Arabidopsis thaliana: one gene and its partner. The protein of the gene in region 1 purifies or fractionates together with the protein of each later gene. This does not show direct contact. Each region holds a gene or a part of one and is shown in the gene's direction. Other genes may lie near its edges.

Region 1 (3,660 bases):
CACATTCCAATCAAAGAATTCAAATTGTAGCAAAGGATCCATTTTGATAGACGAGAAAAGGCAAAAGTTGAAAGCTTTCGAAACCAGAAATTGAAAGCACCATAGATACAGATAAAAATCTGTAGACCCAACTGAAGAAATCTAATGATGTACCTGAAGAGAGAGTGTAGATAGCTAGAAACCATCTCTGGAACCGAGCGAAAGAAGAGGAAATAGAATGATCAAAGCTACCAAAAGTTCTGTTTTTGGCCAAGTAAGGAAACAGAGATATCGATAAAAATGTGGAAACGAAGAAGAAGATGAAGAAGCTTGAGCTTGGTTCCCAAATAAAGGTCTCAATAACGACACCCATCGATCCAAAATTCACCGGTAAATCAGCCGGAGAAAGAAGTAAAAGAACAAACAAAAAAACTCAATTACGTCGGAGAGAATTTGAGATCTTGACTGATGTAAGTGGTGCACAAAAAGAAATGAAGCCCAATATTATTATCAGGCCAAAAGGCCCAATAACTATCCCACCCAAAAAATAGTCTTAAGTTGAAGTAAGCTACACAAAATTTTGTTACAATTTGTTTTTGTATAATATTTCTTGACCATTGACATCGCCTTTCACATTTTTTTGAACATGTTTTTTAGTCTTTTTTTTTTCTTTCTTATATGTGTGTGCAACAAAAAAATTCAAGTTCATAGCAAAGATTTAACGTTGGTTGTTTCTAGATGTTTGAATTCACCACAACGCAACTAATCGCCAAAGATGTATATCAAATATGAAAAATTGATTTTTTAGATATTTGAATCTCTCTTAGATCTTTTTAAGAAAATATTTATCGCTCTTTTAATTACTCTTCGATCCTAAAACATTATCTTGGCCACAACGATTTTGTGAGACCAATGGAAATACTAGAAGATTATGGAGTTCAATTTTCAAGATAATTCGAATTTGGTGCGAAATCCAAATTATCATGATGTTGATGAAAATTATGATTTTGTAGGTTTTTCTTTCAAATACTTAGGAAATTTCAGTAAAATAGATAAGATTTTATGAGAACTAATGGATAATGAGGATTCATGATGTTGCATATTTTTCAAGGTTTAACATGAAATATGCAAGATTCTCAAATCCAGATTTCAAGAAGCCATAATTTTGAGATAAAATTTATAGCATATGCATCAAAACACAATAATAATTTAAAACAGAAATTACAAAATAATCATTTCCAAATTTTGATTTTTTGCCCAATTTGAATTTATGTTAAAATTTCTGAATCATGTTTTGGCCGAAAAGAATATGATGAAATCATATGTTAGATGTCAAAATTACGGAATCATCTAGAAAAAATCAAAATGAATTCTTCTAGAAGTTAACAATAGAAACCACTCATTCGCCGGGTGAAATCAATTGACTGACGAGTTGTCTACTAAACGAGCGTTAGTGTGAGTTAAACCTCTAAAGTTTGATAGCTCGAACTACTATCGAGATTCTTCGGACAATCTTTCTTAGTATCATCTCGATGTTCATTGCTATACCATCATTTGCTCTCTTATACTCAATAGACAAGGTAGTAGTTAGCTCGTGCAATCAATAAAAAGCGGTCATATTTTGTGTGAGTGAGTGACTCATTTTTTTTGAAGAAGATAAATCGTGTAGGTTATAGCTTATAGAGACCTAATAAAATTGACATTTACTAGAGTCTGTCCTAAAACAACAAAAAAATAATTTTCCTTTATTTTTAATTTTTTAATTGTAAATTCTGTTTTGTTTTAGTTTTTTTAGAAGTTAACAATATAAACCACTCACTCCCTGAATAATATTAATCCTATCATTTTGCATGAATGAGTGAGTGTCTCAATTCCTTTGAATAAGATAAACTGTACAGGTTATCAATTAGCAAAAAAGAATCTTTTTCTTGGTTTAGATTGAAAACATATTTGTGTGTTGGTCAACTGATTTATTCAGACCAAAAAAAAAAAAAAAACCTCAGTCGTTTAAACGTTAAAGGTTCTTGTTTTAACGGGCCTTAAATGGATAATAAGTCCGAAGGCCCATTATGTTGAATTATCTAGAATCCAAAATAACTTTAGGTGATTGGTGAGTAGGCGAATTAAATGTAAGTGGACATTACAGAAAAAGAATCAAGTGGCATCGTTTTTTTCTTTCTCATATAAATCTTTTCACATTAGAGTCGGCATAAAAATTCCATTTCGTATTTTTCTCTTCTTCCTCTTCTGAAAAATTAGGGTTTGAGTTCTTCTTCTAATCGATCAGAAAGATGGGTGGAGGAAACGCACAGAAATCAGCCATGGCTCGTGCCAAAAACTTGGAGAAGGCTAAGGCTGCAGGAAAAGGTAACAACCAGATTCAATTTTAGGGGTTTTTAGTCAATTTCAAAGATGGAGATTTTAGCCGTAAAATCGTGTTTCTTAATGATTTTTGTATTTGATCTCTCTTATAGGTAGCCAATTGGAAGCTAACAAGAAAGCTATGTCGATTCAGGTGATCACTTATTACTTTATATCATCGTCTTCGAAATCATCGAAATATTACAATTATTGGTTACTAGAATCAGCTTTTCTTAATAAGAATCCAATTATTATTAGTCCTTTGGAATTGTTTATGTAGTCATGAAACGTAAGTTTAATTGTCTCATGTTGATGCACAATTTCTTGTTGATCCTGAAGCTTTGTGTTAATGAACTTGTTATTTCTTGTTGATCCTGAAGCTTTGTGTTATATTAACTTGTTATTTGTTGATGTGTGTGTTTATATAGTGCAAGGTTTGTATGCAAACATTCATCTGCACGACATCGGAAGTGAAATGCAGGGAGCACGCGGAGGCGAAGCATCCGAAAGCCGATGTTGTCGCTTGTTTCCCTCACCTCAAGAAGTGATGAAAGCTATTATCTCAACTATAAAGGATTCCAATGTATAACGTATGGATCCTCATCTTTCCTATGTTTGTATCAAAGTCTCGACAAATTTTATGGTTTCTATTTCTCTCTACTTGTTTCAACAATAAGTCTCTTGCTATGATTATATAATGAAGCTTTGTGTGGAACCTTTTTTTTTAATATAAGTTGGCTTCTTTTCGCTGTTGATTATGTTTCTATGAAAGTAAAGATTACCACAATTTTGATACAACAAAATCATTACAAAGTTTTTGGTTGAAAAATAGTAGTAAGCATCATCAATCAAGCTTCGGTTTTACTGAGTTCGTAGTCTGCTGCTCTCTGCGGCTTTAACTTGAGCGAAGTATGGATGATCCTATAGATCAATAGAGAAACCAGAGATTATAAGTTTGACTTGATCATCGGGTAAAACAAAATCAAAAGATGTGTGCACATGAAGATCATCGGGTAAAACAAAATCAAAAGATGTGTGCACATGAAGAGGATTTTTACCATGGCTTCTCTTGCGGTTAATCTGTCTTGATGATCATACTGAAGAAGCTTATCGAGAAAATCAATTGCCTAAAGATGTATACAATGAGTCAATACACCCAGAACGAAGCAAAACTATGTTTTTCGAAAAAGAGTAGTACCTCAGGTGAGACCAAATGTTGGTTGTCCGCGTTGATAAACTTGGACCATGGTTTGGGGACATGTCTACAAATAAGAGTGACTTCAGGTTTTAACTCATTGGTATAAAATTAACTGAGCCAGA
Region 2 (4,159 bases), on another chromosome or scaffold:
TTATAGACTCGGCTTGATCATCCACAAGGCATTCCCCTTGAGCTAAATATTTCCATTGCTTGATATCATTTCAGAATACAATCAAGGTAACGAAGGAGGATCAGCGAAAGGATGGGCTATATTTGGAGTTTTTTCCTGCGTGTAAGTAATGCTTTGTGATCTTCCATGCGGACATATAACTGAAGAATAAACTCAACTCATTGTGTTCTGGTGTGTTTCTTCTGATCAGATTCCTCGTTGCATCTGCACTTTTCTGCTGTGGGGGCTTTATTTATAAAACAAGAGTAGAGCGTGTGGTAATCTTCATATCTTTCTACAATTCCACTTCCATTCTCTAATTATTCTCTCACGTGATATACACACACTCAATCACTGATGTACTCGTATGGATGCAGCGTGGAACTGATGCATTGCCGGGGATGTCACTTCTATCGGGCTTACTAGAAACTGTAAGTATTACAAGAAAACTCAAAAGGATTCCATTTATGCAAAATCTAAGAGAAAGCTCACTGTGGTCTTTGGTTACAATTTATGGATCTCTCAAGAGACAAATGCTATGTAAGCTAATTGATTTTGGTCTTGATAAACAGGTGAGTGGAAGTGGACAAAGCTACTCAAGAACTGAAGACATCAACAATGCTTTTGCCAATGAAGTCTCATGGGACCGCTCTTCCGCATCTTCTACTCAAGCGACAACAACACAGAGACCAAGTGAAAGAACATATGGTGCGATCTAATTTTGTCAAGTGCCTCACAAGAGGTACTGTTTCAAGCCATGGTATGGCACGCTTGTGATCTGCGATTTCTGGATTTTGCTTTGTATGTTTATTTTCTACCTTCTAGAAAGAGGTCAAAAAGTTAATAGCTTCACCGTGAGAATGTTGTTTTCACCAGATTCATGTGCTATGATAGAAAAAGACAAAGCAAACAAGAGTTCTTTCTTTGCTTAGGTTACAAGAACAAGAGTATCGTTATAAAGTCAACAAAGATTGAAACATATTTTTGTCAAGGGAGTGGTTAGAATCTCTTCCTACTCTCTTGCCTTTCTCACTAAGACAAAAAAAAGACTTGGACTTTGTCTAAGGTTTTGTGGATATTATTAACCAAGTCCTTTTGCAAAAAGTAATATTGTTTTTTCGCATTCCTCTTTTAGAATTTAGTTTAATCTAGGCTTTATATTGGTTATTACTTTCTTGAAAAATGATCTGTTTATTCTATTCATACTTGGTTACCTCGCTTTTTATCTTACTTCTACAAAAGGATTATCAGTGAAAGTTAGTCTCTTACTCTCACCTTCCGAAAATAAAACAAAAATATCGATACTTCTAGATCAAACCAAGTTGATTAAAACATCCCTATTCCCTACGATTCTGATCTTGAGATATATTATCATGTTAAGATCTAAATTGACAAGAAAACTGATTTTTCATTTCTAGTAGGAAAAATAATTACTATTAGTGATCATGATTGTCGACCGTAAGAGGTGGTTTAGTTACTCTCCATCTTTCTTTGAAGAAGTCAGAAAGTCAGAAATTATATCAAATTAAACATCAATATTGAACACATATATCTGTATGGTTTTATGTTTAGAAAATTCCAATATTTATATATTCCTAGGGAAAAAGAAGCTTATTCTTCAAATTATTGTTATGAGTCGTTAAAATATGGATAAAAATATAAAGTCTAAATATTAAAAACTCAGTTTGCTTTGCTTTTACCTCTCCAAGTCTCCAAAGTCAAATTAATTTTAGTTAATTAAACCAAAAAAGGTTTATTAGTCAAACTTAGCATGCAATGCTGGGTACCAAACCCAAGCATTAGTCTCTTTTAATCTTCTTTTTCTCCAATAAGTTTTTACAATTTTTAATTGTTTGCATTTCCCTTGATTATTTATCTTCATCCCAATTTAGCTAATACCAACTCCGTTTCTTATTCTTCCAAGTCTTTTCCTATAAATACGTTCTTCTTCCCCTCTTATTTCATATCACTCACCACAAAGTCTTCTCATTTCCTCATCTTCTTGTTGAAAGTAATGGCAAGACTCACGAGCTTTCTCCTTCTTCTTTCTCTCATCTGCTTTGTCCCTCTCTGTCTCTGCGACAAGAGCTATGGAGGCAAACTTTTCCCGGGTTATTACGCCCATTCATGCCCACAAGTCAATGAGATCGTGAGATCAGTTGTAGCTAAAGCTGTTGCTAGAGAGACACGTATGGCTGCTTCCTTGTTGAGACTTCATTTCCACGACTGTTTCGTTCAGGTTTAGTTAATTTCTTTTACGTTTCAACATTTTATGTTGTTTTAAGTTTACTTGCTAAACAAGGTAACTGTGAAATGTAGGGTTGTGATGGCTCTTTGCTTCTAGACAGCAGTGGAAGGGTAGCGACTGAGAAAAACTCAAACCCTAACAGCAAATCAGCTCGTGGGTTTGACGTAGTTGACCAAATCAAAGCTGAACTGGAGAAACAATGCCCTGGAACTGTTTCTTGCGCTGATGTTCTTACCCTAGCCGCTAGAGACTCCTCTGTTCTTGTAAGTTTCCTCCACAATCTCTATTTTCTCGAACCAAAACTGAAACATCAGCTAACTCGGTTGGTTTTTGGTTTAGACCGGTGGACCAAGTTGGGTTGTTCCATTGGGAAGAAGAGATTCAAGAAGTGCAAGCTTGAGTCAATCGAACAACAACATCCCTGCACCAAACAACACTTTCCAGACCATTCTATCTAAGTTTAACCGTCAAGGACTTGATATCACTGACCTTGTCGCTCTCTCCGGTAAGCTTTCGTCACTCTATCACAGTTTCTTGCTTCACACACATGGAACACAATTAAAAAAAATCCATTATACATTACTTGCTTCTCAAGCCACCACACTTCTCAAATGTTATCTCAGGTAGTCACACAATCGGATTCTCGAGATGCACGAGTTTCAGACAGAGGTTGTACAACCAGTCCGGAAACGGCAGTCCAGACATGACATTGGAACAATCCTTCGCTGCTAACTTGCGCCAACGGTGTCCAAAATCCGGTGGGGACCAGATTCTCTCGGTGCTAGACATCATCAGCGCCGCGAGCTTCGACAACAGCTACTTCAAGAACTTGATAGAGAACAAGGGGTTGTTGAACTCGGACCAAGTTCTGTTCAGCAGTAACGAGAAATCGAGAGAGCTTGTGAAGAAGTATGCAGAAGATCAAGGAGAGTTTTTTGAGCAATTTGCGGAATCGATGATCAAGATGGGAAATATCTCTCCCTTGACAGGTTCTAGTGGCGAAATCAGGAAGAATTGCAGGAAGATTAACTCTTGATTGAAACAAGAAAACTCTTCTTATATCTTGTGGAACAAATGTGAGACATTTACTTTTACTTTGGAGTGTGTTTTGTTTGTTTTTTTCAATTCTGTCATTTGGAAGTTTTATTTCGTGTTATTTGCGTTGTGTTAAGACATAAGTTTGAAATTTATAAAACTTGTACGAGGAAATATTTTGAAATTATAAACTTTAAACTATTATTGGGCCTAACCGAACCTAATAATTTATGAATTCAGAAAACACTAAATCTTAAAACTGATAGGCCCATAAAGGCCCATTTCACATCCCACTAGTTAGGGTTTATGCTTTCTTCTCACATTTCAGCTTCAGATGCACTGACATGAATTCTCAACGAAGCTAAGATCAATTCGATAGAGAGTGAAAACTATGAGGAATCTGCGAATCATCTCCTCTCACTTCTCACGAGTTTTGAAATCCACCGAGACACGCTCAAGTTCCGTTCAATTATTCACGATCCAATCTCGGAGCTACTCATCTCCGGCGACGCAATCGGAGAACGTGTCCAAAATCGTCAATGAGCTATCGAATCTCACTCTTTTGGAAACAATGGATCTTACTGAGATCCTTAGGCAGAAGCTAAACATCAGTGAATTGCCTGTGATGGCGGCGATGATGCCAGGGATGTCATTACCGGGATCTGGAGCTAGTAAATCCGCCGGCGGAGAAGGGAAAGAGAAGAAGAAGGAAGCAAAGACTGCGTTTGATGTGATGCTTCAAGCGTACGATGCAGTGTCGAAGATAAAGGTGATTAAAGAAGTGAGAACGATTACGGCATTGGGGTTGAAGGAAGCGAAAGATTTGGTGGAGAAAGCTCCAACATTGTTGAAGAAAGG

The links.
Region 2: the proteins of AT2G23090 (region 1) and AT4G36430 fractionate together in Arabidopsis thaliana (co-fractionation; one large-scale study listed by BioGRID). This does not show direct contact.

The regions. Positions count from the first base shown.
Region 1 is NC_003071.7:9,828,885-9,832,544, reverse strand, and holds AT2G23090 (Uncharacterized protein family SERF), read left to right. Parts: upstream 1-2,110; 5' UTR 2,111-2,270; coding exon 2,271-2,346; intron 2,347-2,453; coding exon 2,454-2,494; exon of another isoform or gene 2,495-2,742; intron 2,743-2,768; coding exon 2,769-2,888; 3' UTR 2,889-3,095; downstream 3,096-3,660. Other genes in the region: AT2G23093 (Major facilitator superfamily protein), read right to left, coding at 154-352; CKA3 (Protein kinase superfamily protein), read right to left, coding at 3,202-3,261, 3,399-3,467, 3,539-3,602.
Region 2 is NC_003075.7:17,203,791-17,207,949, reverse strand, and holds AT4G36430 (Peroxidase superfamily protein), read left to right. Parts: upstream 1-1,916; 5' UTR 1,917-2,032; coding exon 2,033-2,257; intron 2,258-2,337; coding exon 2,338-2,529; intron 2,530-2,605; coding exon 2,606-2,771; intron 2,772-2,889; coding exon 2,890-3,302; 3' UTR 3,303-3,565; downstream 3,566-4,159. Other genes in the region: AT4G36440 (G-protein coupled receptor), read left to right, coding at 75-141, 230-296, 396-449, 591-737; AT4G36420 (Ribosomal protein L12 family protein), read left to right, coding at 3,693-4,159.